Caenorhabditis elegans: one gene and its partner. The protein of the gene in region 1 interacts with the protein of each later gene in a biochemical or structural test. Each region holds a gene or a part of one and is shown on either strand. Other genes may lie near its edges.

Evidence for each region.
Region 2: the proteins of frpr-4 (region 1) and flp-13 interact in a test that uses a peptide from one of them, tested with the Caenorhabditis elegans proteins (one large-scale study listed by BioGRID).

Annotation. Positions count from the first base shown.
Region 1 is NC_003280.10:5,250,222-5,257,399, reverse strand, and holds frpr-4 (G-protein coupled receptors family 1 profile domain-containing protein), read left to right. Parts: upstream 1-1,870; coding exon 1,871-1,993; intron 1,994-2,607; coding exon 2,608-2,699; intron 2,700-2,949; coding exon 2,950-3,091; intron 3,092-3,365; coding exon 3,366-3,794; intron 3,795-3,839; coding exon 3,840-3,964; intron 3,965-4,079; coding exon 4,080-4,136; coding exon of another isoform or gene 4,137-4,155; intron 4,156-6,158; coding exon 6,159-6,279; 3' UTR 6,280-6,480; downstream 6,481-7,178.
Region 2 is NC_003282.8:7,696,256-7,700,511, reverse strand, and holds flp-13 (SPSAVPLIRF-amide), read left to right. Parts: upstream 1-2,091; 5' UTR 2,092-2,143; coding exon 2,144-2,231; intron 2,232-2,633; coding exon 2,634-2,835; intron 2,836-3,160; coding exon 3,161-3,353; 3' UTR 3,354-3,583; downstream 3,584-4,256. Other genes in the region: Inositol 1,4,5-trisphosphate receptor itr-1, read right to left, coding at 3,809-3,886, 3,944-4,256. UniProt on the Caenorhabditis elegans protein: Probable FMRFamide-like neuropeptides. Binds to neuronal receptors such as dmsr-1 to promote sleep in response to cellular stress also known as stress-induced sleep (SIS).

The DNA of each region.
Region 1 (7,178 bases):
TCTGTACTCTGATTTCTCCATTCTTCCTTCCATTTCTTCTATTCCAAACTTTCTTCCACAAAGCCCCACACACACAACTTTTCAATTAAAGGTTTCGTGCTCTTTGGCAATTTTCACATTTCCGGTGCCATCTTGTCCTTGCTTTTCGGACCCTTTGGAATTTTAAGTCAAAAGTGAGAAAAACGAACCAAAAATGAAAAATAAACGCCCACATTTAGACAATGGAGATTTCGTTTTCCACCCACCAGTTTGGAAAAACTTTTGAGTTTCGATTCTAGCTTTGAAATCTTATGAAACATTGTTGGAAGAAAATTGCAAAAACGATGTGCAGATTTCATTAGCACATTTTACTCCTAGTGACCGTGACCAGTTGTGGTTTGATTTTTATAATTCCTGTTTTGTTTTCCGTAATTCGGAAAATTGAATTTCCCTATTTTATTAGACAATAATAAATTTAATCAGTTCTTTTCTCAACATTAGTTTCAACTTCCTTCTAAAAATCATTCAATGCTTCCGAAGACAAATTTAGAAAACGATATATAAAAAGACGCTTCACTTTTATAGATGCATTATCATTTTTCAATTCGTCTTTTAATGCTAGCATATACTTTTCATTTTTATTGGAAAGTTGCACGACTTAAGAATTTGCTCGCTAAAAATCATTAGAACAAAATTCTAGACGATCTGCGGCGATTAGTCTAGAAATGGTTTTTGTTCAGACGTTATTATTTTGAATAATATTTTTTTGAAGAAGTCTTTGAATTTTTAATTTTCAATAGATCATAAAAGGCTTTTGGTTTTGAAAAAAGTTATAACCAAATTGTTTTGAATAAAAACACCGATTTTTGGAGTTTTTGAATTTTTTTCAACGAAAAAAATTCACAAAAAAAAAAAAAGAAAACGTATGTTTTGTTTCTAAATTTCAAACTTACATTAAATAAAACTCACAATCAGTCGGCAACGTATGAAAAATTTCAAAATCTGCAGAAAATGCATTTTACTAAAAATTGACTTCTGCGTTTTGATCTCAGAATGAAAAAATTCGGAAGGTATGCCAACAAAACTTTACTATTTGGGAATTAATTCACAATAGCGTATTCCAATTTTTCAAACATAATTTTGCAAGAACCCTTGAAAGTTTCCATAAAATCCTTATCATCCTTACTAAACAAGATAAACACAGTTTTATGATCTTTGGCATGTTTGGCTCTTCCCACGAGACAAAATTGTTTCTTTAATTGGATCTAACTCGAAAAAGAAAACAGGGAACCATCATTATCAAATTGCATTCTCTGAAAAAAAACAGATATCCGGATCTTCGGATCAAAAGTCTAATTATAGATGATGTTCTTCTATTTAAATTCAAATTTGTCCTTTTCCTTCTCCCACTTTACACCTTAACCGACTCCTCCTCATTCTGCTTTTTCCTCTTCTTTTTTTGATGTAGTCGTCAGTTTCATATCGAAATTAGAAATAGGTGAGAAAAAAGAGGATCCTCTTCTTCCATTTTTTCAGCATTTTCCAGAACGCCTAATTACTTTTCATTGGTGTTCTTTGATGATATACTGAAAAACGAATGAAGAAAGTGGAAAATGAAGTGGAAAACAAGGAAAATGAAGACATGAAAATTCCTATCAATTCTCGTGTTCTCTTTTTTCTTATGTATTTGTTGCCCCCCGGGCTAGTGTCTAGACCCAATAATTTGCAGATCTTCTCCTCCTTCACTCTCTCATCACTTTCAGTCCCGCTTTTGTGCTTTTTTGAGTCTTGTTTGCTCTTTTTATGGGCTCTTCAAAGAACACTAAAGTGCCAATACAATCGTGTTCTTCTCATATGGCTTCTTTTTCCAAAAAGTTACATTTTCAGAGAAATGATGGATTCGATGGACTTTCACAGAATAATGGCTTTCGTGTATTTACCGACTATTCTGATTGGGCTTCTTGGTAATTTACTATCACTTTACGCATACAGTCGTAAAAATAGAAAATCCATGGTAAGTTCTAGTTTTAAAGCAAAAGTATATCTTGAAATTCAAATGACTTTAAGATGTCGGTTTAGGGAAAATTTATTTATGAGGTTTCCAGAAATTCATTAACAAAAATTAAGTGCATTCAGAAAGTTCCAGGTCTCTAGTATACAATTCTGTCGATTGGTTCATTTCCCCGTAAAAAAAACATTGGAACTAGGTAAATCTGAAATTGTTCAGTGCATTTTTTACTTCTTTTCTATTTTTTTCTGAATGTCAGAAAACATCTCGAAAATGTTTTGGAAGACGAATTTTCTTCGAAATCCCTAAACATTTTTTACCTAACTCAATCAATAAAATTTAGGATTGTTCTTCCGAAATTGTTTTTTTTCTGCAAAACACCTCAAGCGATTCACAGGTTCGCCAAAATCCTAAAATCGATTTGAGGATTGAAAAACAACTTTTCTAACAAAGCTATTTTACTATGAAAAAAATTGCCTGAAATTTTTCAGATCGACTTTTTTCTAGTTCAAACTGGCCATCTAAAGATTTAGTAAGAACATATGGTTAAAAAAAACATGTTCCAAGTTGAAATCCCAAGACTAAGAATCATGTTTCCTGTAAAATTGTTATTTTTGCAGGTCGGTTTCCTGCTGTACTCACTGTCCGTCTCTGACATCTTCCTGCTAGTCTTCGCTCTTCCACTTTTCAGCATCATGTATCTACCCATTTGGTAAGGTTTTGTGGGTGTGAAATTGGAAAGTGTTACGCATACCCACACACATCTCATTTGCACACAAGATGAGCGAAAGCACGTCAGGAAGGAAAATAAGATATTGCGCGCTTTTCTTTCACAAATGCGAGAAAAAGTGTTAAGGTTATTGCAGAAGGAAGTGGGAGGAAATTATGATGTGTTCAGGATGACCTATGGAGTTACATGAAATTAAAAAACATATTATTCTAATCACATTATTTAATTTCAGGACTGACGAGCAGAGAAGTTTCGTCGTCGCGTACACTGCTAAATATGTATATCCGTTGTGTATGATGGCAAAAACATGCAGTCTTTATATTATGGTATTGATTACTATTGAGCGATGGATTGCTGTTTGTCGACCACTTGAGGTACTACTTAACTTTTAAAATATCCGGGTAAAATGGACCTTACCAAATTTTTCTGAAAACAGGGAAATAGATTTTTGTCGCCAGGGGTTACTTTTTGAAATTACATGGAAAATGTGGTGACCTGAATCTATTTCGAATAATTTCACGAAAAATTAATGAATTGTTAAACGAAGGATAAATAATTGTATGGTTCCAAAAAAAATCAATAAAAAATTATCCGAAAAAACTGCAGCTTAAAATTCCAGCTTTCTCTATTTATTTTTTAATTTTCCAGGTCCAAATCTGGTGTCGATACACCACATCATCATACTCCATCGCCGCCATCATCACTTTCGCAGTGGTTCTGAATTTTGCTCGATTCTTTGAATTTGAAATTGAATACATCGATGGTTTGGCATTCTTCAGACGGGATCTTCTGGATTCTGAGAAACATTGGTGGTACTTCATGTTTTATTTCATCATCATTTCTATTATATTCGATTATCTCGTTCCATTTGTGATCATGTTTGTTGCGAATATGTTGATTATCAGCGAGCTGAGAAGAACGAAAAAGGAAAGAAGTTTGATGACAATTCAACAACAAAAAGAGCAAAATACGACAGTAATGCTTCTGGTTATCACAATTTTCTTTGGATTCTGCCACTTCTTCTCAATGGCCCTAAAGCTTGCGGAGAGTTTTGTTGGAAAGTTTCTAACAATTCAGGTAGCTAAAATCTGTTTAATTTTTATTTGAGCTGTACAATTTCAGAATATTTATCTAGAAATGCTTGGAGAAATTTTTAACTACCTCATTATCATTCACACCGCCTCAACATTTTTCATCTATTACATGTTTTCGGAGAAGTTCCGGCAAATAATCAAAGGAATTTGGAAGTGAGTTTTTACGAATTTTAAATTCATACAACCCTAACTTCATATAGCCCTAAAAACAATGTATTTTGGTTGAAAATGATGTAAAAAACTTGAAGTTTATTTAAAAATTAATCAGGCCCGATCAATACCGACACGGTAGCCTTCCTGATGGAACTCTGAACATTACTGACAGGTATCAAAAAATTTTGTGATGGTATTGCTTTTTGAAACTGCCCAGCTTCTTGATATGCCTCTTGCTAATGTCTAAAAATTATATTTCAAATGTTTTTATTGAAAAATCAATTAAAAATGTATTAAATTTAAAATTGGTACAATTTTAATGTAAGTCAGCACGATTGTATACGTTTTTTGGCAGACATTAGCTTTTGGAATGTTGAAATTAAATGCCTCTCGTAAATATTCCCTAATAATATTGCATGTGGTTGCTTAAATTTTAAACAATTCCGGTAAAAAGTAAACTTTTATAAGAGCCTGTAACTGTCTAAACATGCCTTCTTGCGGCTTATTGCTTGTTTTAATTTTAATGATTAAAATGTTGGGCAATTTTCTACTCAGGCAACTCAAATCTAATATGAAAATATTAAATAGCAATATTTTTGTAGTAAAAACGAGAAATAGTGCGTCCATATACGATTACTAAAAATTTCGAATAGATTTCAATTTTGTCTCAAAAGATTACAATTTGATCTCAAAATATTGCGAAAGTGTGAAAATTTCTAGGAAGACTTCCGTTTTATCTCAAAATATTACTAATTTGTCTCAAAAGACTGCGAACTAGTCTCCGAAGATTGAGATTTCATCTCCGAAGATTGAGATTTCGTCTCAGAATATTGCGATTTTGTCTCAAAATATTGCGAATTTGTCTCTAAATATTAAAAATGCATTCATCGACTATTCTAGAACTGTTTTGTGATAACTCGAAGAACTTTTGTTGCCATTGAGGGGAGTTGAACTTGTCCGTCGCTTGTCGTTGAGTCTATGAACCATTATCTTACCTGTTGAGCCATCCTGTACGTGTCGCATCTAGATATAGTTATTGCTTAAGTAAATAGTTGATGGGCGCACGTCCTTTTCGTTACCTTTGATGGGAAATCAGTGACTTTTCGCAAATTTTCTAAGTGTCAGAGCGAAATTGGATAACTTTCTTTGAAAGCGAATGTTGAAAAACGATTTATTTGTTATGCTTTTAAAAATGTTAGAATTGCAATTTTTCCGAATTTTTGTCAAAGAGAGAATAACATTTTATTTTTTCAATATTTATTTTCACTAACAATTTGATTAAAATGATGAGTATACTGGGAACATGCTTGCTGTTGACAATATTTTATGATTTCAATTGAAATCAGAAAATCTCAAACGCATCACGCGTGAATGAATAGTTGTAAGTCTACTTTAATGTATTTGACCAATCTTCGTGATTGTTTGACTGAATTTATAATATGACCGGCCAATTATCTAGAAAAAATTACATGAGTGGACAGATTTGTGAATTCTGTGGCTTTCTCTGCAAAAACTCCTTCTACAATATGCAACGAAAAATCAAATATCCGTTAACAGTGAGATACTCCATTATATAGATTTTCATGTAGCTGTTTTTTTACTTTGAAAAGTCTTTTATCATTTGGAAGAAAAGAGAATTTAGAACGGAACAGTAATCATAATTGTTGTATATATATATCACGATCATGTGAAGCCGATGGAAATTTGGAAATGGTGTTTTGTAATCTTTATGGACTGCAAAAAGATTGCAAATTAATCTTAGAATATTACACATTTTTTTGTAATATTTTTAGATTTCAGAAAGATTGCGAACCAATCTCAAAAGATTGCTATGTCATCTCAAAATATTACGAATTTTTCGTAATATTTTCAGATTCAGAAATATTGCGAATCAACCTCAAAATATTGCGAAATATTCTCAAAAGATTGCTCAATCTAAAAAGATTTCGAATAAGTCTCGGAATATTGCGATTTTATCTTGAAATATCACCCAACTACAAAAATGTTGCTATTTAATATTTTCATATTAGATTTGAGTTGCCTGAGTAAGCTAGAACAACATTCTGGAACGACGAAAAACTCACAAGTAACTTTGCAAAGTTTATTTTAAATTAAAAAAAAAACGTCCGCATGCAGAGAATGAAAAACATGCTCTTGAAATTCTCGTAAACCAATAAAATCAAAAAAATTTCAGTAAAAAGCGAAAGATCAACCGGCACGGAAGCAGCACAAAAATCATGTACCATACAGAAGCCACAATCATCCATAAGCCAGCATCTTTGAAGACTCGATATTCAAGAATTTCTTCCGAATAACTCTAAAATTTAAAACAAAAAAATATCCAAACATTACGTGTCATTCAGATCATACCAAACTTCAATACGATCTTCGGCTTTTCTTGTTGTATTTTTTTGTTCATTAGAGAACTCAAACCCCCCAAGGTATTTTGCATGTATTACGAGGAGACAGCGGGTGTATGATGTTTTACAAAAATCAATAAAAATTTTTGAAAAGTGTGAATTTTGTATGCAATTAAAAAAAAAACAGTAATTTGATGGAGTTGTTCTGGATATATATGTAGGTACAAAAAAGTCAGGATGCCTATCAGAGAAGTGTTACATAGGCTGAAGGCGACCTACGCTTACCTTTCGGTAGAGAACATTTTTATTAGTGCCGTATTATATTTATGAATGCTTTAGGGGCATCTGTTATTTTCAAGTCTGAAACTATACTTTTTAAAATGATTTCTCAGATAACAGAAGTTTCAAAAGCTGCATCGCAACGCTTTCGGAACTTGTAACTTCAATCCATTTTGGGACAATTTTTATATGAAAGTGTCTAGAAATTCCTAATAAATTTTATTTGTTTTTAGTTCCAAACGTTTAGTTTTCTGTTAGTAATATCCAATTTTCCCTCGATCTCTCTAGTTGCATAAGTATTGAATATCTCAAAAATGTTACAACAGTAATCACACTCCAATTAAATATTGATTTAGGTAATAAACCAATAAATAAACAAAAATAAATCAAGTGTTTTTGCATCGTCATGCTAAAAAGACCCCAGGAACCGTGGGAGGTCTGGATATAAAAAAGTAAAAAGAGGTGAAAACCAGTTCCTTCATTTTTCTGTTACCTCACTTTCCACAAAATTACTCTCGGTGGAGGGACACTTGCATCCTACCTCATCACCTCTTTTTAACCGTTTTGACTTTTAA
Region 2 (4,256 bases), on another chromosome or scaffold:
CTTTTTTTTTGGAAGAAAGTGGGTGAACTACAATCAGATTATTTTTATGCTCCGCGAAAATTTAATCATGATCAAATGTGATATATGATGATAATTTGGGAATAAAAAAGTGGAGGTGGAACATAATTTGTGTTCTTACGGACTATAATTTATTTGATATAAAACATCATTATTTCACTTGTTGCAGTCAAAATGTTCAGACTTGCAACCGCTTTTTTCTTTAACCCCATTTAAATAGGTCATTTTGAAACTGAAATTTTAGATATCAATGTAACAATTTTCAGAAAATCATGAAAATGAGAAAATAACACTGAATCTCAATTTTTTCTAACTAGCCGTTTATTAATTAAAACTGTAGTAGCATTTTAGTCGGCATTTTGTGTCAAAACAAATTCATTCTTGTATTTTTTTTTAATGCAGTCAATATCTTAGTAAATTGCCAAATATACGAAACCTATGGAGCGTTTCTGAGGAATTCAGAACACTAGAACACTGTTCAATCCTTGCTACATTTAAATACAGGGTGGGCCAAAAGTATGGTAACACGTTTGCAGCTCTATAACTTTACTAGTGGAGAGAGTTATTACATCAATTTGTACAAGGTTTGTTCTCCATAAAATACTGACCAGATGAACGTTTTGAATTTTCAAAATATTCCCATCCGCATCGCTGCAGGCCTTCAGAACTTTTGAGATCACGACCTTTATGGCACGCAAGTCGGCATTCTGCGGGATTTCTACATTTTTCTCAAGGAATCCATCAAGTGTCTTACAAGTTTTTATAGTTCAAAGAATGCTCTTGGTCTAGAGATTTTTTAAAAACAAAAATCCAAATAATTTCTATCACGGTATTTCTGTCATGGACTGCGGCAGTAGGTTAAGTCTTGAATGGCATAGTCGCCAGAAAGATGGATGTGAGCGGCGAGTAGCAGTATGCAGAAAAATTCATTTTAGTATTTTTCGAGACGTTTTGACCTGACTTTCCAGAATTTTTTTAGAAAATTGAGCTCGAATGATTTTGTGGGTCGTTACGCCTTGCGAAACCAAAAAAACTGAGTAAATTTCGCAAAGTTGAATTCATGAAAAATTCAAAGGTTCTGGCGCCAGTGTCGACACAGAAAATTTTTGTATGCTACAAAAACAATCAAAAACGCTTCTTCACTTCTTTAACTTTAAATTTAACATAAAAATCATACATCTGAAAATTATTGGCGTGCGTGGGAGGTGTGTTTGTGTGGGAAGTGCCGCGTGCCAAATTACCGTTTTTTCGAAAGGGTTCGCCAAATTTTCGAGGTGATAAAGATCGCACCTTATTGGGAAACATTACAAATTTTGAGTCAAATTGAAGGAAATTTATTCAGCTATCAGTGTTTGATAGAAGAATGTGCGTATGACGTGGCAGTCGCGCGAAAAGCTCATGTAAAAGAACGCTTCATGTGTTACCATACTTTTGGCCCACCCTGTATAAATCGTGAAAACATAATTAGATTATAAAAGTAAAAGTCGCCCGGTTTCGATTATGGTTGGCAAAATCTGAGTAATCGCTACTTTTTTTTGATTGCAATTAAAAATAAATTCTGACACCTTTTAAAAACATGTACCATGATATTTTTTAAACGATTTCGCGACTTGGACTACATCTTTTGAACTCCAATATTATCAGTTCCGAAGTGTGATGTTGATGTTAACATAATGACATTTACAACGTATTCTGATTTCTTTGAATATCTTCTCGAACTCTCGAGACACATCTGTTCAGATTCCAGTTGACTTGTCACATTTACGCATTTCCCTCCTCCATTCTTTTATTTTGTTTCTATTTCTTGCGTAAATCTGATTAAAATCGAGAAGTAGGCGCGCATTTTCTGTCTTCACCTTTTGACTATAAAAGTACTCTACAAATATTGAACAACACTTTTTAAAAGTTGTAGTAGTTATTGGCCATCAGGAATTAGGAGGTCAGTTGCAAAATCATGCATCTTTTAGGATTAAAAGCTTAAATCTTGCTCATTCATTTCCTGTCTTATTTTGAAGTTTTTCTCTCTTCCAACGCCTCCCACTGTGACTACTATCATCTATTATTATCTTGTAGGGATTCCTCAATTTCCAGACACCCTCAAACTCGGCCCCGTTCCGATTCGAACATGATGACGTCACTGCTCACTATCTCAATGTTCGTCGTCGCCATTCAGGCCTTTGATTCGTCGGAAATTCGAATGCTCGATGAACAATGTGAGTGTTTGTTGTTTTTATATTGTTTTAGAACTTTTTAGAACAAGCTTATACTCATTGAGAACTGGATTGAAATGTTATATGTTTTTTAAAGTATTTCAAGTACAAATTACTTTTGAACATACTTTGATCAAAACTATAGTTAAAAAAAACTTGGCTATCTTCATTTCGTATTCTTGAAGTTTGTAGTACACAGAAAAAAATGTCTTTAATCCAGATGGATCCATTTCTCCTGACTTAAAAATTAGAGTCTGTAGAATTCTCAGAAGTCATTAGGACTTGATGAAATCTGAATCGTAAACAAATGTTTTTTAAAGCTATCTAATTTATTTTCTAAATAAAAAACATAAATATCTGAACTCTGAACGAAATTCAATATCCGAAAACAAATGTCTATTTCAGATGACACGAAGAATCCCTTCTTTCAATTTCTCGAAAACTCAAAACGAAGTGATCGACCGACTCGTGCAATGGATTCTCCACTGATCCGTTTTGGCAAAAGAGCTGCTGATGGAGCACCACTCATCAGATTTGGTCGTGCTCCAGAAGCATCTCCGTTCATTCGTTTTGGAAAGAGAGCTGCCGATGGGGCTCCTTTGATCAGGTAACTTTCAACCCTTCTTAAAAATTATACTCCCACAGCTGCTTCCGAATAGAAGAAACAGTTTTAACTTCTATAACGGCAAATTGCATAATCCCATTTAACTGTCAGTCTTTTCAATATTTCAAAAAAATTAAGATTGCCTAAAATTTGTCTACGCCACTTTTGAAATTCAAGATATAAAAATTCAATATTTTTCCTATTCCTGATTATTGAATTGAAGTGCAACAGTTTTGTTTTTAACTCCTCAAAGTTACCGTTTCAATAGCAATCCAAAATACATAACCTGCATTAGAAAACCATCGTGATATCTGTACTTCATTTCTAGATTTGGCCGTGCTCCAGAAGCTTCTCCATTCATCAGATTTGGCAAAAGAGCATCTCCATCAGCTCCATTGATCCGTTTCGGACGTTCTCCATCAGCCGTACCACTCATCCGTTTTGGCCGATCTGCAGCTGCTCCACTTATTCGCTTCGGACGTGCTTCATCAGCTCCTCTCATTCGTTTTGGCAGAAAATAAATTCACTTTTTGATCTTTCTTTGTGTGTGTGTGTGTTTGTGGTTCATTTTGGATCTCATTTAGTCGACGATTGTGTGTCTACACCTATTTCCTTCCTTCACTGTCTTTTCCCCAAACACTCTTCTTCCCCCAACCAATGTTCATTTTCATTTTGGCTCTACTCATGCATTTCTTCATCTTCTTCTTCGACGTCTTGAATTCACAAAAATGAATTGTTCTATCCGGTTGTTAATACTTTCAAGCAAAATTATTTTATTTGAAAATCAAACTTAGATAAAGACGAAAAAATAAAAATACGTTGAAGACAGGTAAAAAAAAACATTGAAATACCGGTTTTGAAAACGACTAAACAGGTTTTGTGACGAGAAAAGGGAAAACAATCACAGGGTTATAAATATGGGTTTTGGAAAAAGAAACAAATAAAAATCTATCCAATAAATCTATTTTCAGTAGGTCTAACGAGGCTGAAATTGTTCCATGAAAGCCCGAGATTCTTCATTTTGACTGATGATCTCTCGCATAAGGGTCATCATCTGAAATTTAAAGCATTTTAAAAAGATTTTAAGATTAGAAGTAGTCAAATAGTTTACCTGCAACAACTGATCCTTCATTTGTTTAACTTCCGATTGATCTGTGTCTAATTCTGAATCTTGTAACGACAATGCCTGCATTCTTGGGAACCAGTCCAAATTCCGATCTTTAACACATTGTGCCACGTAGCTTTCGGGTCCTGTGAACTCAGTTTCATCCTTAATTTGGAGCATCACAATGTAATACAAATAATGCCAAATATTGTGCTCCGTTTCTCGATGTGTTTCAAAAGTCACTGATCGGTTGTCAAAACGAGATCTATCTAATCCACAAATGAAACAGTTGTTTTTCAAAATTTGTTCTTTCTCGTTT